Linked DNA regions of Arabidopsis thaliana. The protein of the gene in region 3 interacts with the protein of the main gene of each other region in a pairwise test. Each region holds a gene or a part of one and is shown on either strand. Other genes may lie near its edges. The genes, in order: AT2G18480, CAT7, PUP3 and CAT4.

Region 1 (7,388 bases), on a different chromosome or scaffold from region 3:
GTTGTCTGAGCGAGAGCCTCCAGTGTCTCCTGGTGGCGATGATCTGCTACCACCATTATCTCCATTACTCCTAGAAGGAGGAGAAGGAGGAGAGCCGCGTGACGGTGGAGTATCATTGCCACCATTGTTTCCTCCATTTCCTCTTTCTCCTCCACCGCCCTGTGACGGAGGGGAAGGAGAGTTATTAGAGGAATTAGGAGGGTTAGGAGCTTGTGGAGCTGGTGGAGATGTGGAATCAGGAGGTGGCGATGATGATGAGTCTCCTTGAGGAGGTGTAGGAGAAGGAGGAGACGGAGCCGGCGGAGAAGAGGTGGTTGAATTGGTATTAGACGGTGGAGATGGAGAAGAGGTGGAGTTTGTTGGAGGAGCAGATTCAGGAGAAGAAGCCATCGGAGATCAAAATTTTCCGGTAACGAAAATAAAAACTCTCCGTCTCCTCTCTCCCTTAACCACTCAATTATTCTGAGAACAACAACAACAACACGTAGAAAAAACAGATCATAATCAAAATGGTGTTAACGTTGGAACAAGTTCTTGTCTTATTATGTTCGTTAGATCGTTAACAAAACAGGTAATGCTAAATATAAGAGATTAATACAAAATTAGTTAAGAGATTAGCATGAAAGTGTGTACCTTAGAGGAAGAGATTAAGGGGAGAGAGTTTTTGAACATTTGATCAGAAAATGATAATAGGAATAAGGTGAAAAAGGAAGATTGAGATTTGCTCTGTCTTCATTCCGAGAAACATGCCTCTTCTCTCTCTTTCTGTCTTAATAACAGTTTTGTGTTAGTTACTAATTGTAATAATCTCCGGTCTAATTTTTCTCTTTTTGGCTCCGTGATATTAGGAGCTAACGATTGTTGATTCATTTCCACGTAACCTCATGCATTATTACCTTAATTTGTCAGGAAAATCTCTGGTTTATTTTGGTCCGTCAAATCAAATCATTGCTCCTCAGGTCTTCCCATATGTGATATGTCTCCTTTTTCTTCAATATTGCTCTAGAGCAACATAATTTTTCTCACAATTAAAGGACTTCAATTGGGAACAAATGTCAAGGTTTTTTATTATTTAGACCTTTGAGCATGATCAAACTAATTTCTTCACGCACAAGTTCATCGATTTCTTTACGAATCTCAGGGTTCTCACCCCTCAAATATCAACTATGACTCTACTTCAGTATTGGTAATCCTCTCCTTTCCATCAATTAAACTAAGACTTAAAAACCATGAAGTGATCAATATGTTTTGTTTAAGCACTTTCTGATCTCTGGAAACATTAATATGCATACTCTAGAGTCTAGAATTAGATGTGTAGTTAAAAATCGAACAATTCTTGGTTCACCTTTTCATTCACCTCTTTCAGCCAATTAGAATATGTCACCTAATAAATAAATAAACTCATTTAATTATAAAATCTATAATCTTAACCACTATTTCATAAACTCAAACCGATATATAATTTTGTTTAATTACAAAATTTAAACTCTAATTCTATTTTGTAAATCCAAACCGACATTTAAACTCGATTAATTGTAAAATCTAAACTTAAATCGTTCTTTCTAAAACTCAAACCGACATTTAACCTCATCTAATTGTAAAATCCAAACCCGTTTATAACTCTAAACCGACATTTAACCTCGTTTGATTCTAAAATCTAAAATCGTTTATAAACCTAAACTGGTATTTAACTTCGTTTAATCATAAAATTTAAACTTTAACCCTCTCTTATAAATCCAAACCGATATATGATTTTGTTTTGGTGAACTATTAGATTTTATAATTAAATAATTGTTATTGTTTTTTATTAGGTTGTAGATTCTCATTAGCTACAGTAAAAAGGGATGAATATAAAAATCATACTTTGTCCTTTACAAAAAATCACACCTTATAATAGATATGCCAAATCATGTTGGATTTAAAAATTATTCTACATAGCCATGATAATCTAACCTAATTATTGACTCTCTAAGGGCATCTCCATCCATGAGAAACCCACAAAGTTTCTCAAACAAAAAAAAATTAATATTATATTATAATTTGAATTTTTGATTAAAAAAATATTTTTGTTAAAAAGTTGAACCAATAGTGAGAAGCGAATTGTCATGATGGGTTGTAGAGAGTATCTCAAAGTTTCTGAGAATCTTTCTACACTCTCTCTCCTTCATTTTTATTATTTTTATTTTTTTAATTGTGAGAAACTCTTATGAGAAACCCCCAATAGAGATGGTTTTAGTTTGAATCTCAAGTCCGTCACGATCACCACGAGGACCCCCACCACCAAAAAGCTTCTCCATCTCCTCCAATGGCAATCCTTTCGTCTCCGGCAACATAAAGAAGAAGAACCACCATGCCGCCACCGCTATTCCGGCGAATACGAAGAACACGCCCCCTGTCGTGATCGCCTTCGTCATCGACAGAAAACTCATTGAGACCGTCGCGTTCATGATCCTATTAACCGCAACACCTATACTCGCTCCCTGAGCCCTAAGTCTCAACGGGAATATCTCGGAGCTGTACACCCATGTGATAGGTCCAAGCCCTATGGAGAAAAAAGCTACAAATGCATACGTAGAGACGATGCTTAAACTCAATGCCCACGCTAACCGCCCAAATCGCTGAACCATCGTGAGACTAACCGCTAAACTGGTCAATGCGAAGACCATCCCACCCGTACTGGTCAACAGGAGCTTTCTACGACCTACCTTGTCGAGCAAGAAAGTGGCTATTATTATGAAAAAGGCCTTAGTTAAACCTACACCGACCGTGGCTAGTAAGAGCTTGTCTTTCGAAACAACTCCGGCTTTCTTGAAAATTCTCGGGCTGTACAACACGACGGCCTCAATCCCCGTCGCATGCTCGAAAAAGTGTATCCCAACGGCCGCTATCAAGATCAAACGCACCGCAGGTCGCGGTTTTATCACCAACTCCCTCCAAACACTTTTACCGTGATTCTTCTTCTTAACGCCGCCACCAACTTCTTTTATCTCTGTCACATCTACTTCCGCAGCGGTTAAGATGTCTCTGAACCGTTCTTCAGCTTCTTCTTCCGTATTGGATACCAAAACCATTATTTTCTTGGCTTCTTCTAACCTACCTTGCATCACAAGCCACCTCGGCGACTCGGGCATTCTTGTAATCCCAAAAGCCAATATCAAAGACGGGAACGCTGCGATTCCAAGCATCAATCTCCATCCAAGTTTCAACGTCAGTTTCCCAAAACAGTAATTCGAGACATAGCCTAGTAAAATCCCAAGACTAATACAAAGCTCAGGTAGAGAAGTGAGAAAGCCTCTATGTGACGCAGAGGATATCTCGGCAGAGTAAACCGGAGCTATCATGAGAGCAAACCCTACACCAACTCCGGCAATACATCGTCCGACCATCAAAACAGGATAGTTTGGGCCGTAACCCATAAGAACTGAGCCCACTAAGAATATCACGGCGGAGAGAGCTATGGTGTAACGTCGGCCGATGACGTCAGACGTTTTCCCCGCCGTTAGTGATCCGACGAGTGCACAAAGATTCAAGATTCCGGCCAAAACTTCAATCTGAGTGTCGTTTATTTTTAGATCATCTCTTATAAATATCTGAGCTCCGCTCATAACTCCCGTATCTAAGGACAACACACCATTACAAAAAAAAAAATATTCGTTAATATAAAATCATTAATATAATTCCATTGAATATATCTTTATATGATATATGTAGAAAACTTTTGTTTGATATGTAGAGAATGTTAGTATGTTACCATATCCAAAGATGATAGAAATGATGGAAGCAACAATGGCACACCCGAAAGCGAACTTGTTCATATGAGGGTTTGGATCCGAACCGGGAAAATTATGACCATCAGCATGAACCATGTTGAGTCTTTTTCTTCTCTTTTTTTTTTTTTGGGTTAAATTTTAGAATAACTTGTTATATCGATTGTGTGCATTTACTAGTATATATATACACATAACTATATATGTCCACCACTTGCATCCATAGTGGAACAATGACGATCAAAAACTTCTACTGTTGTTCCACAGTGTTTGTGGGTGCCCACGTATTCTGGTACGAGAATTATATTTCTGCAAGATATGAATTTTCCTCAAGATTTAGACGTATACAACCTGAGAAGTATATCGAGCAAAATAAATTGAAAAGATTTCCAACAAAAAAAAAAAGTAGTGTAATCAGGCAAGTGTTTTAAGTTTTAACCAATACATACGTAAGTTAAAATAATAATTAAAAGGTTACAATGAGTTTAAAAAATGGTTTCGCACACGGTCTTCAAATAATTTGTGACGACCTTCGTTGAACTTGAACTTGGTCTTCTTGTTTTCAATTTTTATTATTTTTTAATAAAGGAAGTGAAGATTTTTATTAGATGCTATGTTACATGTAAACCCGATTATTGTAGTTTTGCAATTGCATGTTACGTATAAAGTTGTTCTCGTGAGTGGAATGCATGAAAAATTGTATGTCGTAAACTATTTATGAAACTCTAAAGCAAAAAGTTTCCGTTGTGAAGTCATATGTATGAGAATTCAGAATTGATCATTCATTATAGTAACATATGCTAGAAGAAGTTATATCCACCATTTTTAAATGGTAGGTCATCAATTTTAATACGATATGACCAAAAATATTGCTAATATTGTAAGTTAAAAGTCGCCATCTTCTTCACTTTCGGCATTTTCCTGATCTATGTTCAATAGTGGCGTAACCTTTAAAGATTCTTTTCCACATTTATATAATTTGGTGAACTAAATTTATACGGTGCATTTATTTTCAGTTGGTTTCTTTTTCTTATTGAAGTGATGAAGTCCAAAATTAAACTTGTTTTGACGAAACAAAAAAACTTGTATCCAACAAAAAGCCGTTGTTCTCAACAGACGAATAATACTATCAGACTATATGTATCATTACATAATGAAATTGATATCTGTTGGGAAAAAACTGATGTGTGATTTGATCAATAAATCAGAACATCATAAGTCATAACGTAACCTATAGCTCTGTTTGTATGTGCAAGATAAACAAAAATGTTTTTGGGTTCCAACTAATGTTCATTTTAGCATGATCGATGGAAAATTCTGAAATTGCCAATTCTATCATTTATATTTTTGTCATATGCTTTGTCAGTTTGGCTGGCCTAGAGTTTTACGTCCAATTAGTCTGTTGAGAACTGTATTTTTGTTTTTCTTACTCGTACGTTGTTGGAATTCTGAAACAAGATGTTATTACGCCTCCAGTATTAAATCAATATTTTACCCCGCTAATTATAACATTATATATCTTGGTGGACTACGTCCAATTTATGTTTAGTCTTTTTTACATTCGCTACTAATAAATTGGTATCATAACTTCGAATTTTCAACATGCTTTTGTAATCTGGTAAGCATACATTTGTAAAATTGTAATGAACATAAGAAGCAATATTGGTGTATTAGAGAGACAATAACTTATTTCAAACTTCTAGTTTTTCTAAATAATTCTTAGTGTATACGTTTTATAGATCTCTAAATCTGTTAGAAGTAAAGGTTTACACATTTAATGGATATACGATATATATATTATTAAAAAAGAAGAAGTAAATCTGGATAATCATCTAGCTAGTATCTATATATATAGTTGGCAAAAACGCTAACCTTTGGGATTTGTATACGTAAATTATGCAAATGCACAAAATCCATGTAAATAGTAAAGTTTTGATATGATTCCTTGAAAGTTATATTTTGGTGAGCTGAAAAAGAAAGATACGTGACGAAAAAGTAGTATTTGATTTGTTTTCTTGAAGAGCATATACCATAATGAGTAACTTACTCAAACAAGTAAATGGCATGCGTTTTTTTCTTTTCACTTTTAATTGAAAAGGCATATATTGTCGCTATCAAAAATCAAAACCAAACGAAATTTATACTATGAGGTTAAATGAATTTGTTGGGTAAGAAAATGATATACCTTCAACGCACGGATTACCTATCTTTAATCCAAAAAGCTTTGGTTTAAAGGCAGATAATCGATAGACTAGCTACGTCAGATCAGAATTTAAGTCCTCGAACCAACATTCTTCATGCTGAGTTTTTTTTAGTACGAACCTTAACATGCATTGTAGTCCAAAGCTGATTGGCATACACATCGTGTGACAAAATAACCAAGACAGATCAATCATTTAGGTCAACGATAGAAGGAGAAATCTTCTGGAAGAAGAGAAAGAGAAATTCAAAGTGAAATTGTGTGTATTAGTTGGGATACATTTGGCCGACACAACCAGAAAGATAAGTTTGGGGACTTTCCGATACAAGTGATAACTTGGGTAGGTTAGATCATCATATGGGTAGGTCTTATTACTTTATTCAAAAGTTTCACCAAAAAAACACGTAGTTCTTTTTTTTTTCCATCTAAAACTTTATTAGTTCTTTATTTGAACAATGTCAACACATTAGGATTTTTTCAAAATTCATAAATAATAAATAATGAAAGTAGCCCTTATTTTGTCAAAATTATCGTAATTTCTAATTGAATTTTTTTAGAAATGGTTTTGATAAAAAAAAAACTTTTTTACTAAAATTGAAGAACCCAACGAATCACTGATATGCATGTGTTAGTACAAATGCACATGAAGTGATGATATTTTGAGTTTTTGTTTCCAACATCACGAGAACTGATGATCAAGTTCGTGATTAGATGGAAAACAATTTGTAAGTTTTTTTTTTTGTTTTTCCGAAAGATTTTCAGATTTTTATAGATGTTCTACTAGAAGGACATCCGTAAGACAAGAGGCACACTTCCAGTTAGATGTGTTCGCGTCTTTTTAAACATTGAAAAAAACTTTGATATACACTTTATTAGTTATCTATAACTTCAGATTAAGTAAGAAAATACAATGTCGTTCAAAAAAAAAAAAAGTAAGAAAATGCAAATTTTTGTTGATTTTGAGATCACTTGGCACTTGGCAGTCCGGTTAAAGATTTAGTTATTTGGTTACAAAAATATTGTAATGATTTAAGGGGACAAAGTATTGTAAGTGGGATGAAGTGATGGACGCAATTCAAAATGTAACGGAGGCCATTAAAATTGGCCAAACTAATTGTTGGTACGAATTTTTGTGTGGCATGGTGATAAAGTTCTTGAAAATGTTGGGACTCGTTTTTTTTCCTTATTTTGTTTGTGTAAGAGCCAAGAACACATCTATGATTTTTGTGTGGCATGGTGATAAAGTTCTTGAAAATATTTGGACTTGTTTTGGGGATCAATTATGGGATTGGCACAAAAAACTCTATGCCTTTGTGAATTTAGGAACATCTATGCTTAAGCTGAATTATTTGACTGTTTAGGATATGATATTTGATTCGCTGCTTTTCTCGCCTTTTAACGCTGTCTGCTTTGCCTCTGCA
Region 2 (8,671 bases), on a different chromosome or scaffold from region 3:
ACTAACATATACTTGATAGAATCATTAATTATCCTATACACTTGAACATCATCAAGTGAAACTGATATTTTTGTATACCGAAACTACGTAGCAATCCTATACATATGCAGAAAACAAGCGAAGTTCCTTTTTTATTATATTAAATCTATATATATATATATATATATTATCTATTTTTGAGTTCAAGTTCCGTTGCTTGTTTCATTTCACACCATTCTTCTATCTTCCAACATCTAAACTCCAAGACAAGTGCCTTGACCTTGGGACGGATCATCATCATCCGGAGGGTTCTGATTTCCAGAATCTGGATTGCCCTCGGTAGACTCCAAAGTTATGTCAAAAATACTCCGGCGTTTCTCCTTCTTATTGTCCGATTTTTGCCTTTTGTAATACTGTGCATGGCTTGACACTTGCCGTGGAGTCTTTGTCTTCACAAAATTCGTTGATGTCAACGTCGAAGCTCCTTCCCCATACTTTTTCAATCCTTGCAGAAACAATCTGAAATATATCATTAAACAATCAAAATCATAAGAATTAATAACCTAGATATTATCATAATCAGCATCATCATGTTAAAATTAATATAAATCAAATTGATAATTACATCTATCTGAAGAAAAATACTTGTATACGTTACCCTAATCAACAAAACCCAAACTAATCATTTTTTGTGAGATTTGAACTGTTAACTTATACTTTTCCTCAAGATTTAAGACTTTTCCTCAATCAAAAGAAACCCTAATTCATAAGTATTTGATGACTAACCTGTGTTCCTCTTCTGTCCAAGGATTTGGCGTATCCTTCTTCCTGCGTTTGGACTGACTCGATTCCGCCAGTGGTACGTACTCGGGCATCTGATTAACATCGTTGGCCATCTTTTCGTACATGTACTTCATCTCCTCCATTTCCATAGGTTTCTGCAGATGCTGGGTGACATTCTCTAAAGGTTTCGGCAGATAAACATCGTTGACCAACTTTTCGTAGTAGTACTTCACCTCCTCCAAAGGTTTCGGCAGATGCTGGGCGACATTCACCAAACGCTTGTTATCCGGAGGGAATTGCGACAGAGCTGACTTAAAACGCCTGTTGTCGTCCTCCGTCCAGCGTGGACTCGAAGCCATAGTATCCGAGAAAATGAGAAAAAAAAAAAGAGATGGCTAAAAATTCAAGAAACAAGAAGATCGTTTTGTGGAATATGTTACGGAAGAGCGATTGTTTGTTCGTTTTAATTTTGGCAACCTGACAATTTATAGAGGATCAAGTAATGGGTGAAAATTACAAAATTAGCCCTCACTTTACAAAAAGAAACACGATTTCGTATTTAAACACGCACAACTTGACTCAGAAGTTTTCTTCTCGTTTACGTTTAGACGTACGCAGTGGGTAAAACTTGGAGTGTAATTTCAAGTTATTTTAGTTTCCTATTTAACCCCAACTTTATATATACTACGTACTTAACTTGAAAGCTCCATCTTACGTGTATCTTCTGTTTAGCCTAGATGAAATAAAGCAAAAAATAAAAACATTGAAATATATATTATTTTAATGGTTAAAGAAAATAATATAGATGACCACAAAATTAAATAAAATATGGTTTGCCAAAAAAATGGAAATCCCAAATCTTTAACATACCACACAAAAAAAATAATCAAGGGCCTTCAATATCTTTAGGCTTTTTATTTTTTGGTTGTTAATACAGTCATAGAGATTTATATCACTTTGAGTTGGGGGCCTTAGCATGGTGACCGATTTCCAGAGCGACGAGACTCTCTTGTTGGCCTGTTGAGTCCACATTGGTGTTATTTGCTCCCTGCCGTTTCATCACATTCACATCGGTGCTTGCCACATTTAAGTCGTTAATCACATTTTTCTTTGAGCTTTGCCACTGGTAAAAGTTTTCTGCATATATCTCGACTTGGATCGGGCTCTTGCAATCCAATAAGACGGCTATTTTACGCCAATCTTTCCCAAATCGGTCTAACCCAATCAGAAACCATCTGCATTACAATTTCCACCAGTTCATAGATCAGCCCATTTTAATCAAGTTTCACCATGGCATTATTAGTTAACGATATAAATTGAGTCAAATGAAAAAAAAAAAAAAACTATATTGTCCACATTAAAAAAATAATGCTAGAATGTGTAAATCGTAAGATCATAGGACTAAATACATTTTAATCTCAGAAATGAACTATGTGAATTATGGAGTCTAAGAGGAGAATGCGTCTAGCTAGATCCACAAACCAATACCAGTACTAATCAATCATTATGTTTATAATTGAAACTTATACGTGTATGTAAATTCCACTAACTAACAAAAATCATAACTCATCACTCATTAATCTTATATACTTACTCATGTGTTTCTTTGGTCCATATAGTTCTCTCGGCCTGGTACGAACTTTGAGCCATATCCTTAGTCAATTCATTAGGAAAAGCTACTCGACTGGATCCCATCTCTAAAAGATCATTGACCAATTCCTTGTAATGCTCCTTAACATCATCCACCGATCTATCCACATACTCGGCGACACTCTCAAACCGAGTAAGCAAAAAGGCAGTGAACATCACCAGTGCATCCTTGAACATCTCGTTCTCCTCTGTCGTCCATGAATTTTCAGCCATGATTCCCAAAACAAATTAAGGAAAATGAAGTCTACAAAACAGAATGGTGTGAATCTGGAGAACTACAGTATATATAATAACTCATGTAAGGGATATGGCAGCTTATAAATCAACTCAAGTAACAAAAAATATATGGCTTCTCTTCTCTCAAATTGGGGTGTATTAAGTTTCCTTCCTTTTTCTTATATTCAAAGGGTAAATTTTATTTCAGATTTTGCTATATTGCATACAAAGTCTTTATTTTATTTCTTTCTACTGATTTATTGTCATTCATTTAGTTTCCTATATCCTTTTTATTAAATTTGTTTTATAATATTGACGATTTTAGCCAATTAGATTATGATACGTGTACAAATAAATTTTTATTTTCACACGTGTTAGCAATCAGAATTATGATACGTGTTACAGCCAATTAGATTATAACACGTGTATAAACAAATTTATGTTTTCACACGTGTTAAAAATTAAAAATTTAACATACAAAAGATTATAGACCTAATACCACACAAATAAAATAAATAGTCAAAACTTTAGAAATTAAGAACTTTCATTAACATGAAAGAAACAAAAAATTGTTTATTTTTTCAAACTCTCTTCACACGAAAAGGAAAATAATCAATCATAATTATTCACCAAGTTGTGAATATTGCGACGGATTGCAACGATCCCGGTTACTGGTTGGTCACTCTGATACTTAAAAGAGTAACATTTTTATCCATGTTCGTTGGTTGCATTCGTTAAACAAACAAGTTGTGATTATTATCGACCATTGTCCAAGGAAAAATAAGCATTCATTATTTATACTAGGAATTAAATATTTGCCGTCTAAACTCAAATAATAAAAATTGGGAGACCGAACAGATTATAGAATATTTGTGTTAATGCTTACGTGATTTATTTATTTTAGTCGATGCTTATGTGATCACTGATCATTATGAATACAAAAAAATAGAAGCTACTTTAATATAATAAAACTAAGTTGACCAAAATAATAATAATAATTAGCGTTTCCAAAGCTTGTAATAAATTACACCAAAAAGCGTCTAATTCTTTTTTTCGTCTCTCAGTCTTTTGCAATCTCACATTATAAAACCACTTGTTTCAAATTACTCTCAAAAACATTATAATCCGTTACATATTGACCCGACCCGAAATGGAGGCCCAATACCGGAACCACGACGGAGACACCTCTTTCTCTAGCCTCCGTGTCTACCTCAACTCTCTCTCCGACACTCCCTCCCGTTTTTCCCGCCGAGCCGTTTCCGTTTCCACCTCTTACGACGAGATGAGCCGCGTCCGCGCCGTCTCCGGCGAGCAGATGCGTCGTACTCTCCGTTGGTACGATCTCATCGGACTCGGAATCGGTGGAATGATCGGAGCCGGAGTCTTCGTCACCACCGGCCGTGCTAGTCGTCTCTACGCTGGTCCATCAATCGTCGTCTCTTACGCAATCGCCGGACTCTGTGCTCTACTCTCCGCCTTCTGTTACACCGAGTTCGCCGTTCACCTCCCCGTCGCCGGCGGTGCTTTCAGCTACATCCGTATCACATTCGGTCAGTAACATTCTCCCGCCAAAATCAAAACTCCCAAATCGCAGAGAAATTCAAATTTCATTTTTTCCTCTCCGATCATTCATTTTTTTCCGTTACAGGCGAGTTTCCGGCGTTTATAACCGGAGCAAATCTGATAATGGACTACGTACTGTCAAACGCCGCCGTTTCAAGAGGATTCACCGCTTATCTCGGATCTGCATTCGGAATCTCAACATCGGAGTGGAGATTCATCGTCTCCGGTCTCCCAAACGGATTCAACGAAATCGATCCCATCGCCGTTATCGTCGTCCTCGCCGTCACGTTCGTCATCTGTTACAGTACGAGAGAGAGTTCGAAGGTGAATATGGTATTAACGGCGTTACACATTGCATTTATAGTATTCGTGATCGTCATGGGTTTCTCGAAAGGAGACGTAAAGAATTTAACCCGACCCGATAACCCGGAAAACCCATCCGGATTCTTCCCGTTTGGAGTTTCGGGTGTGTTTAACGGAGCAGCAATGGTTTATCTAAGTTACATAGGATACGACGCCGTTTCGACAATGGCTGAAGAAGTAAAAGACCCAGTCAAAGACATACCAATGGGAATCTCTGGCTCAGTCGCAATCGTCATTGTACTTTACTGTTTAATGGCTATCTCTATGTCAATGCTTCTCCCGTACGATCTGGTCCGTACCATCAAATACACATTTTTAATTTAAGCTTTTTTCTATGGGTTTTGTGGGTGAATGATTTGGTGTGGTTGTGTGTACGTAAGCAGATAGATGCGGAGGCACCGTATTCGGCGGCGTTTAGTAAATCGGAAGGATGGGAATGGGTGACGAGAGTGGTTGGGATTGGAGCAAGTTTCGGGATATTAACGTCGTTGATAGTAGCCATGTTGGGTCAGGCTCGGTACATGTGCGTCATCGGACGGTCAAGAGTTGTCCCCATTTGGTTTGCTAAGGTTCATCCCAAGACATCTACTCCAGTCAACGCTTCCGCTTTTCTTGGTAACTTTTTGTCCTTACTCTCAAACATATTTATTTTCATTCTATTAAAATTAACATCTTTGATCAAATATAATAAGTTAAATATTATTTATTTTTAAGGTTATGTTGGAATTTTCCTTTCGTAAAGATCGGTTTTATGTTTTTTCTCTGTTTTATTTTCATCAAGTGATAAAGAGACAGTTTGATAGTGGGGACATCCATTTTGGGTTTTTGTTTGTTTGTTTGTTTCCATGATCTTTTTGGATTTCATTGTATTGTTGATCTTACTTTTCACGTGATTTTACATACATATACTCGTAGGGAAGGAGAAATCAAGAAAATTGAATTTTGTTGTTTACTATTTAAAACATAAAATTTCTCCAACTGATCTTGTTTGGGATTGTGGTTTGTAGCTGTGTGACTGTGTGATCTATATTAATGTAGGCCATAGTCTTTTGTTCTTATATGATTTTTGGTGTTGGGTCTTAATTTAGAGCATCGTATACGATAAAAATCTCGTGGTCGTGTTCACCAAATGGCTTCAATCTTTTCAACGGTTTTGTTTGGGACATATTGTTGAGTCTCTTTGGTCCTTTTTTGTTTTTTAGTTTATGTATTCAAGCATTTTCTCTTTTTCAAGCTCTCAAATTTCCAACTCTTTATATGCAACGTTTACGTATAACATCTTAGTTAAGATATTGGTGAGTAAGATTTTGGAATCGTTTTTTATACTATAGTTTTACCAAAATGCATGAGTCGTGGAAGCGAATCTAGACCCACAGTTTTGTTTTCAATTGCATATTCCTTCTTATAAGCATTGGTTTCTTATATATTTATTCCAAATTTAAAGTGCTGTTCTAAAAGTTTTGGATACTATATTCTGTAAACCAAAAACTAAAAAAATAAATAAATAAAAGAATTTGTACACATACTCTAAGCCTCAAATAAAACAACTGTAGTTTACCAAATTTTGCATCCACTAATGTAACTAGACTTTGATTTATAATATTTTTGAACAAAGACCAAGAGAGATCTTGAACGTGGAACAAAAGCTCAAAATCTTTCACAAAAAGGTGTCTTATTCCACAAGTGAACTAATGGAACAGATTCTTGCAATATCTTCATTTTATTTATATAATCGACCTTTAAACATCTTGGAATATATCTACGTTATTAGACACTAATCTGATTGATTAAATTAACTAAAGAATAAGGATCTTGTCATATCCCTCTGCTTAACTCTTTAATCTTGTCTATACTTTTTGTTCAGGAATCTTCACGGCGGTTCTCGCCCTCTTCACCGACCTAAACGTCCTCCTAAACCTAGTCTCCATCGGAACGCTCTTCGTCTTCTATATGGTCGCAAACGCTGTTATATTTCGCCGTTACGTAACGGTCGGATACACGGAGCCATGGCCAACACTCTCCTTCCTCTGCCTATTCTCCATAACCTCAATTTTGTTTACCTTGGTCTGGCAACTTGCACCGTCGGGCCCACCTAAATGGTTCATACTTGGAGCTAGCACGGTCACGGCTATAGCCATCGTCCAGATATTCCATTGTGTTGTACCTCAAGCTAGGATCCCTGAGTTTTGGGGTGTACCGTTGATGCCGTGGACTCCATGCGTTTCGATATTTTTGAACATTTTCTTGCTTGGATCATTGGATGCTCCTTCGTATATCAGATTCGGGTTCTTCTCGGGATTAGTGGTGCTCGTGTATGTGTTTTATAGTGTTCATGCAAGCTATGATGCTGAAGGAGACGGGTCTCTTGATTTCAAAGACGTGGAAAGCCTTGAAAGAATTAACAGAGTGTTGAGTTAATTAATAAACAGAACTTGGTGACAATTTGACCAAAAGGAAAAAAATCTTGGTGACATGCAATTTTGTCTATCTGAACAAAAACAAAACGAATTTGTCATTTTGTGTTGGACAATTAGAGGAGCCTAGACTAGAGAGAGTAGAGGTTGATGTAATGTTTACAGAAGCTAGTGAAGTCCATTTTCAGTGTAGTCAATAGAATCTCACTTTCTTGCTTTTGAAGATGTTGCAACTTGAAATAGTTTCTTTCTCCATCTTTGTTGACTGACTTCTTCTTTCTGAAAGATTGTATCTTGATTTTCAGAATTAGATTTTGACATTCTTTTTACAGATATAGAATATTTTGTAATCCTCCCAAAAACAAATATTCGAAAGCCACTAAATAAAGACAACCCAACAAATATAACTGTACAAAATTGTAGAATGGTTTGACAAAAGTATTTATCAACTTTTGAATTTTGATCATAGTGACATGTATCTAATAGTGATTTGTTAAAATGGATAATACCGTAGAAGATAAAGATGGCAATAAAGTTTGTGAATAAATGAATTTTTTTATATTTCCATAAAATTTAGAAAAGGGATGATACTTTAGATTAGATGCTAAAAACAGCAGCAAGTATTTGGCATCTTGCAAGATCGGATATTGTTATACACCTCCACCAATAAAAGCACAAATCAAGTTTGCTTTATTCCTTTTCGTTATATCGAATATTTGTAAATGTCCAATTTGTTAAGTCATAACTAAAAACATGGATAACGTTGGTGTTGTTCGTTTGGCAGCAAAAACAATGGAATTTGATCACAAGGAGCTGAAATTCAAAACGATTGTCTTAATTGTTCCGATTGATAGATTCTATGCCCACTGATTTAAAATGGGCCTCATATTAAAAGCCCGTTTAAATCAGTTGTCTCGAAAATTGACTTTTTGGTCCATTTTGAACTATGATTTGGAGTTGCAATAAATTGAAAACAGCATGTAATTCATCTCTTCAATTGTTTTGTGATAAGAAAATGATATCAAAAACGTTTTCTATGTAAGGGTGTGTTTTGCACAAAAAATGGTCAGGGTGTGTAGTCTTTGTCCGTAATTTTCAGCAGAATCAGGTCGTGATATCAGAAGCTCTTCTGTGTTCACACCTATTGATTCTGCTAGAGAAGGATCCATGGCATTCTCTGCATCAAGATAAGCGCAATAACCTGGTACAAGCAAGTCCTTTTTAGATAAATAAAAAGCTAATGGAGTGAAGAACAAAAGCAAGTCAGAATCAAACTGTAACTTCACAAAATCGAATCTTAGCCAGAGCAAGCCAAAACGCTTCTTCTTCCATTCAGCTACAAAGCAAGATAAGAGTAAACACAAGAGACATTCGTTTAGTCAGGAGCTTGGGCAAATCATCAATGCTACTCTAAAGGAGATAACTTTATTTTGGTTGGATTGTTGTCCTAGTTTCTTCATCTGAAAAATCAAATCTTTCTTTCTTATACTCAAGCTAAGAATTGTTGAGAAACATTAGAGACGAAGAGAACCTGAGATAAGTAAGAGAAGAAACGGAATCTCTGAATCGGACTGGCCCATGAGAGTCGACCCATTCCCCGTTCTTCTTCAAGCGGCTCCTCCTTCGCTGTTCAGTTTCAATTCCACAGTTCTGTCTTCGATCTCCAGTTTCCGCCATGGTCATTGTCCTTAACCAGAAGTGGA
Region 3 (6,594 bases):
CGAAACTCATGTTTTTTCTGCATGGTGACACTTTGTGGTCAAAACTCAAAAGCCTTAACTGCTAGCTGATAAAGCTCTGCAGTAACATAATTTAGGCATGTCCTATGATAAAATAAAACCTCTTAGAGGACATAAACTAGAGAAAAGTTATCTGGAGTCTAGCTGAAAATTAATGAGTTTTGTCCTATTCAACTGGTTTATGTGCCAAAAGTTTACTAAACTACTAGGTTTAATAATATTAGCTAGTAGCATCTTTATCATTATGTATATGATGCGCTTATTCTCTAAACTAGATAATGTGGCATATCGGTTCAAACTCAATTTGATGGCCCCAGTCATAAAACTCAAGTGCATGCTACTGCACTATTTTGCCACCAAGCCATAGTACCTCGGCTGCAGTATTTTTCTATTATAGTGCATCCTTTCATCTCTTATGGTTCACGTTGTTCCTACTATTTCTCCCTTGAGCCATACTGGACATGTCTTAGAAAACTTATTTGACAGGCTATTTTGGGGGGCAAAGTTGTGGTGCCAACACTTTCAGGCAAGATACAGCTAGATGTAAGATTCGTCTCCCAGTGAGATTCATATAATATTTTGTTTGTTTATAATTTGAGTCAAGTTGGTTTTCATCCTCTGACCAAGAGGAAGGTTAGATCTCAAGGCTTTGGAGATAATAGAGGTACCTTATTGTAATTGTTGCAGATACCAAAGGGGACTCAGCCTGATCAACTTCTTGTTTTAAGAGGCAAAGGTACATATAATTATCAGCCTATATGTTCAATTTTTTTTGTGTATTTGCGTGTACTCTTCTTAATAGGTTAGTTCCTGCAGGACTACCGAAGCAAGGCTTTTTTGTAGATCATGGAGATCAGTATGTTCGCTTCCGCGTTAACTTTCCTACGTAAGATTTCTTTTACTTGAAGTTCAAGTAATACACTTGTTGGAGACATCCACATTATGCTATGCTAAAAACTCTACTAGTGTTTAGAATGGAAAAGACACTTTGTTGCTCTAAAGTTACGGTTTTTGAAATAATTTTCCTAGGACAACATTGTGTTAATTTCCCTGCCGTCTGATTATTAAATCTGATTACATAAGCTTCTTGATGTTCTGGTGGCATGTGGATGTGTTGGATTCTCTTCTTTTCATTTCCGTCAAGAGCTAATATTGATAGATTTCTGGTATATGCTTATGCGGTTTACTTTTTTCCTTGTATCTACTAGTGAAGTGAATGAACGTCAGCGTGCTATACTGGAAGAGTTTGCAAAGGAAGAAATCAACAATGAGTTGAGCGACTCTGCTGAAGGAAGTTGGTAAGTAAATTTTATTATTGTGTTTATAACAGCATATTGTGTGTAATATTAGATGGTTAGACGTAAATGGACATCTGGTATAATTCACCTCAAAGGAATGTAGTTGGTTACAATAGAAGAATTAGTGATGCTTATACATTACTGGTACATTTTCTAGGCCTGCTTAGAAATAAGAGTTAGAAAAGGCGGATATGTAGATAACAACAAGACATAATTGAAAAATGAGATACCTAGGTTCTCTTATAAGAAATAACTAGAAGCTCTAAGGGAAACAGTGTAAGAAAGCCAAAATGTCTGTTGGGGCTTTTTCTTTACATTTTGATTCAACTGAATGTTATTTCCTCACTAGCGATTGTTCCTTATAGTAATGAAGAATCATGAATATGAACCAAACAGGCTTTACCAGAAGCTCTCTACTGGTTGAACTTACAGGTGGAATCTAACGGGTCCTCAGATCATCCGCGACTTCTCGTTAATGGTGCTGCTGGCGCTATTGTTGAGCAGGTTAATGGGATGAAGCCACCACGAGAGATGAAAGATAAAAGCATTCAACAGAAGACAAATGAAGACTAATTTCATCTATTGCTGGTAGAACAAAAAGCTCACCAGCATAACAGAGAGTGTCATTGTTTGACCTCATAATTCTATTACAAACTCATTTGATGTGAATAATAAGAGACATCAAACAAGTTAAGCTGAAATAAAGAAAAGAAAAAAAAAAGTCCTTTAAGATTGTGTTTTCGGCATAATCCCACAAGTTTCTCAAACATATCTTCTAATCTACTTGGCGGAGAAATGAGTGCTATGATGTCTTTAAACGAAAAGCCATGCTTCGTTGAGTTTTAACACTCACTTATGGGTCTTGACAAAGAAGATTGTTCTGTCTCCTGACTCTCCTCCTGCTGAATTCTCCTTTTATCCTCGCCAGACTTTATCTCACCATAAAAGTAAGAGACAAAGCCCCAAAGGGAGAGAGCAAGAGAAAGTCCCTTCTCAGCTTGAAACTTTTCATGGTAGAATATAACAGCTAAAACCTCTGTAATTGGCAAAAGCACTGATATCATAATACCCGAGACGAGAGACGATGTGGAGAAGATTAATCCAATGGCTCCCAAGAAGAAGCCTTGCCATATGATGGCTGAAAACACAGCCACCACATAGAACAATGCCTCTCCAAGCTTGAACTCTCTTGCTTCTTTTGGTAAGGCCTGCAAAAACAGTAAAGGGCTCAAGTCTCTGTTAAAAACTCTTTTGTATGTTTTCAGATTCAAAAGAGTGACTAACCTTGAAATCACCAGCGATGAACATACCGATGACGCTGACAATAGAAGCAAGGAGACACAAAATCAACTGGAACTCGAGCACAAGGGTATAGCTCATGGTTTGCTTAGCTTTCTGGTAAGCAAGTTCCACTAATGGCAAGATGAAAGCATACATAACAGCTGCTGCTACAGTAATCAAGAAACCAGTTATGTACTGCTTGTGAGTCTCATGAACTGGCTTATCAGTTTCGGTATGCATTCCCAAAACCGCAGCACCAACAGTCAACAACACAACAGCATTGATGGTAAAAGGAGTGAACTTATGTTTAACCATGAAGAATGAGAAGATAGCTATAAAAGCTAACTGTGAAGCAATGATAAGAGCAGCTGTAGAAACTGGAAGATAAGCTATACCATATGCATACAAGTAGTTATCAAACCCTGAGAGAATGCCTACAATAACAGCGGCGATAAGAAGACGCGGTTTGATAAGAAAGAAACTTGTACTATCACCCACATTGTTGCTTCTGCGCCGGGTAATGTAAGAGAAGAGCAGAGGAATGAAGATAACAGGAAAGCCTGCAGTTTCAAGAAACGTAGAGAACCAAATCCTTTTACCGCCATTGTTGAAGTAGAGACGCATAATCAAAGGACCTCCACAGTTTCCTATGGCTAGAATTATGCAGTTTATGATCACAAGAGCCTTCACCATTCTTGTCTGATTTCTTGTGGATAATGAAGGTTGGTGGTCGAAGGAGTTAGTTATAAGGTTTGGTGTTGCTGTGTTTTGGAACAAATTTGGTCCGGTTTTAGATTCTGTCGTGATAGATCTTTGTGTTTCTTTTTACCTAACGAGGCTTCAATGGCTAAAACATGACTTTTCCTATTTTATACCCATAAATTTTGCTAACTGTTTAATTTCGTATAAAAAACGTAGTAATTATCTTATAGACCAGATAATATCATATCTCTCATATTAATTTACGTTTCCATCAAATTCTACAGTTTTGATTATTGGATTTATTTCTTTCTAAATTTAGTGCAATGACATTAAGATTTTCAGTTCATAATTCTCTCTATAATTAGAAGATTTTAAGGATGGTTAATTGGTTCTTTGACTCTATCTCTTTTGTTTTCTCTTCTTCTTTCTATATTAGTTCTTTGATTTATATACAAATTTTTATATTAAATAGATAAATTATATTAATCTTAAATTAAAAGTGTGAAATGTTTATTTTATAAAATCGATAAATAGGATGTGATTTTATCAAATACGAAATATCCTATCTTTTACTTATCATTATCATTCTATTTCTACTACAAGTGTATTAAAATTTGCATTTATCAAATAGCTCAATATCTTTCAAATTTATTCATACTTATACACAAGAACAATAACAAAACACACAATCACACATAATATTAGGAACAAAACATAACAGTAATGCTCTGTTATAATCCTATAGAGTTATAGAAATTAAGCAACATAATCACTAACAGGAAGAATAGGCAGTTCTGTCTCCGGCGGTTGAGGTTTATCAACAACTTTCTTGCCGGATTTAAACTCGCCGTAGAAGTAAGAGACAAATCCCCAAAGAGAAAGAAGTAGAGAGACACCTTTCTCTGCCTGAAACTTCTCCCGGAAACAAACGACGGCGAAAACTTCAGTCACCGGAAGCAGAACACTTATCAGAACACCAGAAGCTAGTGATGATGCACAAAACACAATCCCTATGGCTCCTAAGAAGAAACCTTGCCATATTATTCCTGTGATCACTATCAATGCATAGTAAAACACTGATCCTCCAATCTTGAACTCTCTTGCTTCTCTTGCTATCACCTACAAAACATGTATGATGATGATTTTAGTTGATTCTCAAGTTTAATCATAATTTTAAATAGATATGGAAATACAGGATAAAGGTTTGAACAATTTTTAAATAATGTTTCTAATAAAAGATAAGGAAGACAAATCATATATATGAAAGTTGGCCAACTCTCTCCATATGATTGACACATCATCACTTTAACATGTGCCATGTGTCCACATAATAATTAATGTAAGCTTTCAACTTTTAATTTATAGATTAATGATGTATTTATTATTTAATTTTACATATTTAATTGTACTAATACTAAATTTATTTTGTTATTACATGTTGTTCAATAAAATAATTTTATTGGTTTTCTCATACTCAGAAGATTTTTTTCTGTAATCTTAACTCAAATTATGAGTGTATAGTAGTCATGGATTAGTTAATAGTTTGAATAGTTTGCATATTGTTATATATCTATATAATAAATCGCCGAGGGTGAAGAGTATGTAAGAAATTTAATCATCAAATTCTTAGGTTTCGAGAATTCCAGTATTACCCTCTATTTAATTAGTTTAAGATGAACATTGTTTAGGAATTGTGTGTATAATGCATTGTTGAGAATGTTGTTAGAAAAAATATATTTTAATACTAAGAATAATTACTTATTACATAAGTAAATGATTAGATAATTAAAAATTATATTTAAATTATACGATACAAAAAATCTGAAAATACCGCAGCGTAGCGCGGGTGATTACCTAGTATTACATAAAACCTTATTGAAATTGTTAAATATTTTATAAATTGCTCAAACCTTTATCTTGTATTTTATATAATATTTGTTTTTAATAAAAGATCAGGAAGACAAATATTACATAAAATCACATATTTTATTATAACCAGGAAATCTATATTAAAATTGTTAAATATTCTATAATATCCATATGTATTTAGAAAATGTTTAAATACAGATACCAATATATCTTGGTTGACTAGTATAGTCTAGTACCAATGATTCTGAAATAATTTCTATATATATAATTGTTTCCATGGATTTTCTCCATTAATAATACAAAAGAACAAATCTTAGTATTCCTCATTTCTTGGGAATCCAGACTAAATTTTGGCCTCTATCATAAAATGAACAAAAAAACTATATAATTTAGAAAAACATTAAAAATAGAGAATCCAAAAACTCAGCTAAAGTCTTCATCAAAATCTGCATAATATTTTTTTTATCAAGATCATCCCATGATACTCTCTCTTATACTAAAAACACAACGTGAAAAAAACTGTAAATTTCTTACCTTAAAATCTCCAACGATGAACATGCCAATGACACAGAAAAAAGTAGCAGCAAGGCACATGACCATCTGAATCTCAAGCACAAGTGGGAAAGTGATTTCTTGACGAGCTTTCTTGTAAGTTAGCTCAACGAGCGGTAATATAAAAGCATAGAGAAGAGCTGCAACCACAGTCATCAAGAACCCAACCACATACTCTTTCTTGCTCTCCTTAGCCGGTTTGTCTCCATCACTGTGTAACGCAAGGATCCCGATACCAACCGTCAACAAAACGACGGCGTTTATGGAGAACGGAGTGAACTTTTGCTTGACTAACAAGAAAGCGAAGAGAGCGTTGAAAGCTAGTTGAGTTCCGATTATGAGCGATGAAGTTGAAACTGGCAGATATGCTAATCCGTAAGAATATAAGTAGTTGTCAAGTCCTGTGAGCAACCCTATGACAATGGAGGCGATAAACAGAGGAGTTTCCATGAGGAAGAGCTTTGTTTTCCGCTTGTTTTCCGCGTTGTTAGGGTTGCGGTTGCTGCGGCGACGGCTGAGGAAGGAGACCAAGAGAGGGATGAGGATGATTGGAAAACCAGCGGTTGATAGGAAGCTCATGAACCAGATTCGTTTTCCGCCATTGGTGAAGTAGAGACGAGTTAACAAAGGACCTCCACATGTTCCTATAGTGAGGATAATACAGTTTATGATTATCAAACCATTCTTCATCTTCTTCTTGCTGCTTGCTGTTTTTGTTGTCCTCTGTTTTGGCCTTTTTGATGATATTTCTCATCAGCTTGAGGGGTCAATGAGCAATTATATGTTTTTCATTTTGTGTGTGTTTTGTTTGTTTGTGGTTTTGGATCGTGTGATACATTGTCAAGGAAGTTGGGAAATTAAAACGGTGGGACAT
Region 4 (9,721 bases), on a different chromosome or scaffold from region 3:
TATATTTATTGGGTATTCTTTATCCTAACTTCTTAATATTTATCTTTGTCAAGGTCAAAATTATGGCAATTGATGTAGCGAGTCTAGAAAGGGCGAAAGCGATTATTAGTGGATTGACAATGGTTCCCTCTGTTGGTGATATCTACAGGTATGTATCCTTCATATACCTTCTCTGACCAAAAAGCGTAAATAGATTTGGATTCTTACCTTTCTTTTTGTATCAGGAATTGTGAAATCAAGTCAATGGCTCCTTATGGTGCATTTGTAGAGATAGCGCCTGGGCGGGAAGGTCTTTGCCATATCAGTGAGCTGAGTGCTGAATGGCTTGCAAAACCAGAGGATGTGAGCATTACTCATTGATTCCCTTCCTTTATAGAAATTGTTTCATCTTTTATTCAGGTTTTCACATACGCTCATTCTTGTCCTTTCAGGCCTATAAAGTAGGAGACCGCATTGACGTCAAATTAATAGAGGTCAGCGAGTTATTGTGTCTTTATAACTCAAGAGACAATATAACTAATCGGAAATGATAATTAGAGAGTTGTTGAACAAAGAAACATGGATAATGCAGGTAAATGAAAAGGGTCAGCTTCGACTTAGTGTACGGGCTTTACTTCCCGAATCAGAGACAGACAAAGACAGTCAGAAACAACAGCCGGCAGGTGATTCTACCAAAGACAAGAGTTCGCAAAGGAAATATGTAAATACTTCGTCAAAGGACCGTGCAGCTGCAGGAGCATCAAAGGTTTCATCTGGGGATGAACTTGTCCTGAAGAAGAAAGATGTAAGGAGAGCAACTGGTGGTAGTAGTGACAAGACAATGAATAGCAATAGCAGTACCAACGAAGAAAGTTTAGTCAACGGTGAAGCTACAATCAGCTAGTGGAATGCAAACAAGATCACTGTTCATATCTGTGTCTCGTGAGACTCATTACGAAAGGAGGAGAGTTTCTTCCAACGGAACCACAGGTGCGACTTGAGAAATCTTGAAAACTTGAGACAAGACAAGTTGCAAATGTCTTTTCTTGATTTTTTTTCTAATGTTTTGTAATTATGTTTCTTGGCAGTTTCTTGAAGCTGTGCATATATGTTGGCAAGTCTGGTGTGGAGGAGGATAACATTTTTGAAGACGTCATATGTTGGGAGATTCTCAGACATTTCATCAGTTCTTTCTGTTGTCTTCTCTCTTGCAAACTCATTAGTCCGTTTAGGTTACTTGATATATTAATGTTTTTGACTAAATTTTATTTGGGATAGATGATTTTTCTTCAGCTTGTCAAAGTTTCCCAATTTTTGTTATGTTTCGAGTTATTAGATGGACTTGGCAACTTCAAGAGTTTTAAAGATCACTTAGCTAAGTGAAGAAAACTATATAACTGGATACATTTCACAACAAGAGCACATATATTTCTAAGCCTGTACAAGCAACAACAGCTTGAGGTCGAGTCCCTTTAACTGCTGCATTGAACCGCCCATATTAAGCAAGATGATCTGCAACTTTTAAATGTTCTTGCACTCTTTATCTGCAGAGTATCAAAGTTTCCCAGTTTTTGTTATGTTTCGACTTACTAGATGGACTTGGCAGTTTCAAGATCATTTAACCAATATTGGCAAACTTTATAACTGGAAATGGAAAAAGGAATAAAACATGAAATTGGCATTTAAGAGATATACATTGGCTTGTGTACATGAAAATGGAATGACTATCAATGTACATAAAATGTTGTTGTATATATTGGCTTGTGTTTACTCTTGTGCCAAACTGTTTAATTCTCTTTAGATGCTACTTCAGCAACAACAAAGCTTGAGCTCGAGTCCCTTTAACTGCAGCATTGATCCACCAATCTTAAGCAAGATGATCTGTTGTTTTTCTCGTACAAGTCATTGTGGGAACGTAAACCGCATTGTTCAGTAAGCTGTGAGATCGGCCATAGAAGATATAGATCATGCTTCCAATAAGTAGCCATATCAAGACCCTGATCCATGTCCCAGCTCTGCCATTACAAATAACCAGCAAGGGTTTAGAAACATCCCAATATACTGAATCATACATGGGTCCATCAGACTAACTCACCCAATGTTGATGATCAAGTAGGTGTTGATCAAAATGCAAAGAACTGGAAGGTATGGGACGAATGGGCAGAGAAACCCTGAAATAGAATCATATATAGAATGCCAGTTAGAAAACGCTGCTCAAGTATAAATCCAAGTTTATGGTTTTTGCTAAAACCTCAAAATTTTCGTCCTAACCAGGTAATAACCAACTCAGCAAGAAACTAATAACTAAGCAGCGTTTTTGATGAAAGTAAGACCAACCAATTGATGGCTCGCTGAATCTTATATTCAATTAAACTTCTCATTTTGTGATGTATGAGTAGGCAAAAAAAAAGGCTTGAATAAGGTTCAGGCCTTACCTCCTTTGTGTCCAAAGTTGTGCCTTTCTTCATCCTCGTCAATGTAGCCAAGAGTAATCAAACTGCCAAGCAAGATGACTGCACTGACACCACATATAGTGAAACGAGGAAAACTGCAAAAGTCAAGAAATAACCCATTAGAGTTCATAACCATATTACAAAGATAATAACATGCAAATCTTTCAACACAGCAAGTTGAAAAGTGCTTCACAAAATTCTGAAACAGGAATGCATTTTCTAATTGAGCATACTTAACCGCTTTGACATGCAAGTAGCAGTGATATCGTTCACAGCTAATCAAGCATCTCAACCAAACTAAATAGATTTGTTTAGTAGACATAATTAGATGTGGGGAATATATGCAGGACGGGTTATACAGACATAAGATATCAGATGATGAAACGACCTTGGAAGACGCTCAGCTGAAGCTGCTGAAGCAAGACCTAGGACACCTATGCACACAAGAGCTATACTCCAGGCAGCAATTTTTCTCCTCTTTCCAAAATACTTTTCATCTGTTCAATTAAAAAGAAGCAAAAAAGTCATATTTCTTAAATGCAGATAAAAGGCAGAAAAGATTGAATTGTTGGATGTATCTTTACAACATATCCAAATGGTAACTACGTGATTGAGCACATTTTAGTACCTCGAGCAGTTTCATTTCCAAGTAGAGGGGAATCAGAAGATTCTATAGCATCCACAAGAAAATTTTCAGTTTCAGCTCTACTTTCATCGGTATCACTCAAAGTTTGGGAGGAAGATGATAGGGGAACTCCATCTGGTGGTACATATCTAAGAACTAGCACACAGACTGCAACGGCAGTGAATGCCATTAGAGTGCCTACACTAACCTGTTGGATAAATTACCGATGTGAGCTACTCAGAGAAGGATCTGTTACCGTAATAGAGTGTGTTTAGGCGTGTCTCAACTAAATTATATAATACTAACTGCTTCAACAATATCAAAACTATACTACTAATAATGAACCCTCAATTTTCTGTTTGCCACTAATTGTAGGTGAAAATCCTTCCTTAAGACTTGAGACATGTAATGTAGGCAAATACCAGCTTACCATCTCGGACAACTGTGCAACATCCATGAAAAATGCGAGTGCAGCGGCAAGAACACCAATAGCTATTGTGCTTTTCACTGGTACTTGAGTTCGTGGGCTAATTTCTGAAAAGAAAGCTGGCAACAATCCATCCCTAGCCATTGCCATGAATATTCGTGGCTAATAAAAAAAAAATACAAAGCTCTGTCAAAACGACATGTAAGCATTTCCAAAACCCACACAGAACCAGCATGTTACTTTTACTACTAAGATATCTCAATTACAAAATCTCTTGAACTTGGATTTTCAGAACGATAGAATTGGTTAGTACCTGAGCCAGAAGGGAACCCAACAAACTCGCACATAGAGCAGTTATTGCCCCAGTGGTTAAGATGTACCTGAAATATATAGGAATAATAAGAAAAAAAAAAGCAAAGACAAAAGGAAGTATGTGTATATGCATCGTGACTAATTAATACAAAGAAATTTGAGTGTCAAGAGATGTATCATACTTACGCTGCCCATTGCATCCCACTGTCTCCAAATGCAGAGGAGATAGGAGTATCAGGATTCAATGAATAGTATGGGACCAATCCAACAATAACTACTGATAAAAGCATATACAAAATGCAGCATATCAGTAATGCAATCCCGATTCCCAATGGAAGATCCCTTTGAGGATTTTTCACCTGTTGTGGCAATACCAAAAGGTTAAGAGCTTAACAGAGAAAATCGCCAGAATTATGGAAAAAAAGTTCACTATACTAAGACCAAAAATCATCCTTTATTACTAGTTCTATATGGAATCGTCAAAGTGAGTCCTTTGTAGAGAAAAGAGAAGGATAATAAATCAAAAAGAATGAGAGTATTATTCAATAAACTGTATACCTCCTCAGCCGTACTAGTTACAGTATCAAATCCAATGTATGAGAAGAATACTACAGCAGATCCGGCAAGTATCCCATTTAGTCCAAAAGGAAAGTACCTGTAAAGACAAGTATTAAACATTGACTTTAAGAAATAACTTTTGACAAAAGCTACGCTCAATGGAGAAGAGAACAGGCTAATTACCCACTGGGGAGATCATATCCAACCCATCCAGTCTTGCAAGCTAAATATCCACCAACTACTATGATGAAAACCAAGGTGCAAACATTCACTGATGTTACAATTGCTTGTACTGTTGAACTCTGTAAGAACAAAATAACCCGGTATAACACTATTAGACGATCTGATAATCCTGAAATGAATCCATTTAAAATGTCTTCAATAAAGTACCTCCTTTATCCCAAAACATAGTAGTATCGTGACAATCATAATCAAAAGTGCAGCACATGGATCAACCACAATACCAACCCCGGGTATAGTTTGTCGAGCTAAGAACACAGGAAGATTGTCCAAACCACCAAAAAAAGATGCCTAAAACAAAAGAAACACCAGTCAGAATTAAATCAACAAAAGACCACAAATACATATATTTTTTTTTTGAAAATAATGTTAAATTATATTCCAAAGAAAAACGTTTTTACAACAAGTGCATCTTGGGTTTGAGAATTAGAGCTGAGAATAGTTTTGAAAAAAGAAAGAAAAGGAGCTAAGTGATTAACTTCTTGACTGAAACCAAACACATATAACTCAAAGGCAAATACCAGATTTGGAGTTATGCCACGGGCAATGGCTGATCCACCAATTGTATAATCCAACACCAGTGCCCAACCAACCAACCAAGCAATCCTATGAAATAAGAAAATCCATGAGTATCAGCTTTAAGACGAACAACAAGGTCAATCCTATTAAAATCCATATATATATACCCTTCTCCAAGACAAATGTACGCATAATGATAAGCACTCCCAGCAGATGGACAACGAGAAGCAAGCTCAGCATAACAACAGGCAGAGAGAGCAGCAGCTACTCCAGCAATGAAGAATGATACAGCAAGAGCAGGTCCTGTGTGCTCTCTAGCTACCGTTCCCACAAGAATATACACTCCTGCTCCAATTGTTGTCCCAACTCCTGACAAATTAACACCGAAAGGAACACAATCAACACCCATAAGGAATTTTGATCAAAATTGGCCAAAGCTTGAAGCTTTCTCATACCAATAGCAACAAGATCAACGGCGGATAGTTTCTTGGCAAGCTGATGAGGTCCATCGTTTTTGATAAGATGAACAGAATCAACTTGTTTTCTTCTCACAAGACTGTTCATATCAACCAACTTTGCAGAGTCCACACCGGTTTGATTTTCCAATCGATTCAGAGCAAACCCATCTGAGTTTTTCCCAGAAAATCCAACAAAGATTGAAATTTTTTCTTCTACAGAATCCACCAGATGGAGTATCGGAGCCGGAGATAACTCGAGAGGCGTGCACGATTCCAACTTTTGTGAGATTCTCGTTGGTAAAGATTCTTCAAAGTTTAGATGACTTTTGTGATTTTGTTTATTTCTTCCTTTTTATTAACAATTGGGCTAATTTGTGCAATGGGCAACTCTTGATTCATGAATTCTCTATCCTAAGAGATTTATCTGCACCTCAGCTTAAAAACAGATTAACAGATTTTACTTTTTTTACAATGTCACAGTAAAAATTGATGGACATGTGGATCTTCTCTTTACCAAAAACAGAACGGTAATGTAAATTATAACAGATTACGCCCAAATGTTATAGACAATCAATAATCACCCGTCTAATCTCCAATTCATCAATCCTTTAGTCCAAAACACTTGAATATATAAAAAAGAAAAGTTGCAACAAATCTTGTTCCAGTACAAAACAAAAGAAAATACTCCAAACTTTACCAAGAGACAAAACTTGATTTAGGTTTGAAGCAACTATTTAAGAACCATCGAGCAGAAGAGAAAGATATTGGAGACGAAGCAGTAAGAGCTGGTTGATACACTTGGACCACTTTCTTGGTTTTAATATGGTATACGCTAATACCGCTTTCAGCATTGCGTACAAACCTCCTCCTAGGTCGATAAGGCGGGTCAGCATAAAAATATATGCAATTTTTCATAACTCCATCTTTGGCTGCAACAGTTATTCCTAGATCAAAAATAAATGCTTCGTCTCCTAAAGAATTGGTTCTGCTCCATTCTAATGATTTAGGATCCATCTTGTAGACACCCCCACTGTGTATAACGATCAAAACTTGTCCTGACAAAGTCACAGCAAGATTCTTGCCGCAAAACGAATCATTACCATAATTCGGAGATTTGAAACTTGCACATTGTATTGGAGAAGCATCAGCGTGGGAGAAATCAAGAACAGTGACGTGAGTATCAGTAAGCACGTAAAGCTTGCTTTCTTTACACACCATATCCACGCATCGTTGATTCATTAAAGGTTGAATCACTTTCCAGTTATTCTTGTCATCTCCTTTCTTGTGATATGCAAAAAAGCCATCATAATTCCAAACAACTAAGTAGTCTCTGGTTTCTTCATCTACCCACAAAACAGCTTTGCCTATTCTAAGACACATGACCATATGTGAAGTTTTTTTTTTTTTTTGCAGAATTGTTTTGGTCATTGAGAGTCACCCAAAAATTATTATTATTGATTCTCCAAAATTCTATCGGACATCCATCGGTTGCACCCAGACAAGGAAGATAAATCCTCTCTCGAGTAAACAGATTCAAGAGATGAAAATCGTTTCTATGGTCTAACATAAGGAACCATCTACCGGAACTGGCCAAACAACGACTACTAGCTAGATCAAACCCGACATCTCTTAAAGTGTAGCAACTATGGTCACGAGGATTGAACAACTTACATGATGAATTTTCTTTCCAATCTGTGTTGTATGGAAACATTATGATCCATGGAGTTGTTACTCTGATGCACGATTTCGAGGCGTAATACCATTCTGAAGAAATGCATCTGGCTCGATGAAAATCAGAGAATCTCAAGCGATCCAAGATCGATATAACCAGGTCTCGGACAAGTGTCGGCTGCTTTGGATCGTCGTTGCATGTCTTTTCCTCGGACTCACTCATCTAGGGTTTGTCTCCTGCTTCTTCTAATCAAGATACTTATATATGTTTGTTCATTTTTATTTCTTTTTGGTTAATTTCTTAAAATAAATGAATTTATTGGAAATAAATATATCTGAAAATGTTTTTATATTAAAAAAAAATACATAAAGACTTTATAATACGGTACGGTGCACTAGTTTGTTATATTGAAAATGATCAAGTACATTTGGTCCATGTTAAGTCGGTGAGAATTAATTTCCAAATCAAATTTTCAGTACTCTACACAAGTTAGATTATAAAATGATGCTTTCTTTCTTGATCGGTTTTGAGAATCAGTCTTTTGGCAATTTGATATAGCTAATGACTTGTTAAGCTCATGATCAACACTTAAACCCATGGAAGAAATGTTGGTGGGAACTAAAAGCCAAATTTATCTACAAAAACAAAACCATCTTAAGAGGATTCGTTGTTGATATTGAGTACGATTTTTCAAACTTTTCTAAGTCCAACACACTTGAATATAAAAGAAAACTTGCAAACACTCTTGTTCCAAGAGAGACAAGAAAATACTGTAGCCTTACAAAAAAGACAAAACTAGATAGTTTTAAAGCAACCATGCATCACACCCTAAATTTCTCCTGGATGAGGATCTCAAGAGCATTCACATGGTCGTGGAGGTATAAGTCCAAAAGTGCTTTGGTTTTGAATGAGTTTTCAAAAAATCCAAGCATGGTGGTTTAAACATCCTGCAACAAATAAACCAAGCTTGTTTAATTGCCGACAAGTGTATTCAATAGAAATTTTTTAAGAGTTATATATTACCCTCCAAGAGTTTTTCTAATCAAGTGTTGGAAATGGTGGCCAACTTTTTGACTTCCCATCCTCTCAGAAATCTCCTAAAAAATCATCAATAAAAAAAGTTTACAAGTCGGCTTATTTATTTTTATATATATATAATCGATTAATATTGTATTACCTCAAGCTCATCTTTTTTCATCGTGGCAAGACCACACCATGCCGTGTACATGAACAAATCCTCCCAAGTAAAGAGGTCAAAAGAGTTTTTTGACCACTTGGCATAGCATTTGACCAAATGCGCAAACTGCGAAAACAATAAATATTGATGAATATAAGTTATACCAAACATAATTATAAACAAAACATAAATATATCTATATGAGTTTACGTACCAAAACAGCGGCTGTGTAATAGTGGCCTAAAGCCATGTTGGCTAAGCCTCGTCCACATAAGGATTTATAATGGATTGCTTTCCTGTCATCAGCGTCATCAAGCTTGGGTGCGTTTGTAGATAGTTCAATCGAAAGAATGCGCGCATCCTCGAACCTTCGGCAATGGAATGCCGAGATCACAAGCAAAATACACACGGGAAGCCTAATCAACGTACCATAAGCGTCCTCTAGATGTCCAGAATTGTATTGATATCGACCAAGTTGGTCCATGTTAAGTCGGTGCACATCAAGTACATTTGGTCCATGTTAAGTCGGTGAGAATTAATTTCCAAATCAAAATTTCAGTACTCTACACGAGTTAGATTATAAAATGATGCTCTTTCTTGATCGGTTTTGAGAATCAGTCTTTTGGTAATTTGATATAGCTAATGACTTGTTAAGCTCATGATCAACACTTAAACCCATGGAAGAAATGTTGATGGGAACTAAAAGCCAAATTTATCTACAAAAACAAAACCATCTAAAGAGGATTAGTTGTTGATATATAGATAATTTGAGTACGATTTTTCAAACCTTTCTAAGTCCAAAACACTTGAATATAAAAAGAAAACTTGTAAACACTCTTGTTCCACGAGAGACAAGCAAATAATGTAGCCTTACAAAAAAGACAAAACTAGATAGTTTTAAAGCAAACATTTTCCACCGATAGTGGGGAAAAACCAACGAGCATCCTGAATAGTATTGGCAATGAAGCAGTAAGATGTTCAAACACTTGGATCACCTTTTTGGTCCCAATATGGTAGATGAAAATACTGTTACCGTTATCACCGCATAGACTAATCCCACTGTACTTATGAAAATGATCATTACTAAATATATGCAATTTTTCATAACTCCATCTTTTGCTGCAACAATTATTCCAAGATCCAAAATCAATGCTTCGTCCCCTATAGATTTGATTATGCTCCATTTTGATGACTTAGGATCCAACTTGTAGACGAAGAATAAGAACGTCCCAGGATGTGGTTCCACTCTGCTAGCAATGACCAAAACTTCTCCAGACAAAGTCACAACAGGACTTTTGTGA

What was found.
Region 1: the proteins of PUP3 (region 3) and AT2G18480 interact in a protein complementation assay, tested with the Arabidopsis thaliana proteins (one large-scale study listed by BioGRID).
Region 2: the proteins of PUP3 (region 3) and CAT7 interact in a protein complementation assay, tested with the Arabidopsis thaliana proteins (one large-scale study listed by BioGRID).
Region 4: the proteins of PUP3 (region 3) and CAT4 interact in a protein complementation assay, tested with the Arabidopsis thaliana proteins (one large-scale study listed by BioGRID).

Annotation. Positions count from the first base shown.
Region 1 is NC_003071.7:8,007,378-8,014,765, forward strand, and holds AT2G18480 (Major facilitator superfamily protein), read right to left. Parts: upstream 3,901-7,388; 5' UTR 3,867-3,900; coding exon 3,752-3,866; intron 3,617-3,751; coding exon 2,205-3,616; 3' UTR 1,724-2,204; downstream 1-1,723. Other genes in the region: PERK4 (roline-rich extensin-like receptor kinase 4), read right to left, coding at 1-390. UniProt on the Arabidopsis thaliana protein: Plasma membrane sugar-proton symporter.
Region 2 is NC_003074.8:3,310,191-3,318,861, forward strand, and holds CAT7 (cationic amino acid transporter 7), read left to right. Parts: upstream 1-3,762; 5' UTR 3,763-3,778; coding exon 3,779-4,178; intron 4,179-4,241; exon of another isoform or gene 4,242-4,276; coding exon 4,277-4,845; intron 4,846-4,937; coding exon 4,938-5,169; intron 5,170-6,418; coding exon 6,419-6,972; 3' UTR 6,973-7,150; downstream 7,151-8,671. Other genes in the region: AT3G10590 (Duplicated homeodomain-like superfamily protein), read right to left, coding at 234-498, 766-1,121; AT3G10595 (Duplicated homeodomain-like superfamily protein), read right to left, coding at 1,715-1,997, 2,357-2,625; AT3G10605 (uncharacterized protein), read right to left, coding at 8,151-8,169, 8,500-8,645. UniProt on the Arabidopsis thaliana protein: Permease involved in the transport of the cationic amino acids.
Region 3 is NC_003070.9:9,858,145-9,864,738, forward strand, and holds PUP3 (purine permease 3), read right to left. Parts: upstream 3,425-6,594; 5' UTR 3,291-3,424; coding exon 2,601-3,290; intron 2,525-2,600; coding exon 2,159-2,524; 3' UTR 2,147-2,158; downstream 1-2,146. Other genes in the region: ATJ1 (DNAJ heat shock family protein), read left to right, coding at 505-561, 706-754, 835-904, 1,227-1,316, 1,749-1,833; PUP1 (purine permease 1), read right to left, coding at 4,056-4,418, 5,703-6,410. UniProt on the Arabidopsis thaliana protein: May be involved in transport of purine derivatives during pollen germination and tube elongation.
Region 4 is NC_003074.8:924,024-933,744, forward strand, and holds CAT4 (cationic amino acid transporter 4), read right to left. Parts: upstream 5,980-9,721; 5' UTR 5,678-5,979; coding exon 5,569-5,677; intron 5,483-5,568; coding exon 5,281-5,482; intron 5,201-5,280; coding exon 5,116-5,200; intron 4,886-5,115; coding exon 4,745-4,885; intron 4,657-4,744; coding exon 4,538-4,656; intron 4,452-4,537; coding exon 4,355-4,451; intron 4,156-4,354; coding exon 3,983-4,155; intron 3,865-3,982; coding exon 3,798-3,864; intron 3,647-3,797; coding exon 3,488-3,646; intron 3,266-3,487; coding exon 3,061-3,265; intron 2,930-3,060; coding exon 2,821-2,929; intron 2,528-2,820; coding exon 2,415-2,527; intron 2,151-2,414; coding exon 2,075-2,150; intron 1,995-2,074; coding exon 1,847-1,994; 3' UTR 1,533-1,846; downstream 1-1,532. Other genes in the region: RIF10 (polyribonucleotide nucleotidyltransferase), read left to right, coding at 54-148, 225-342, 432-473, 572-883; AT3G03726 (F-box/kelch-repeat protein, putative (DUF295)), read right to left, coding at 9,318-9,365, 9,454-9,686. UniProt on the Arabidopsis thaliana protein: Permease involved in the transport of the cationic amino acids.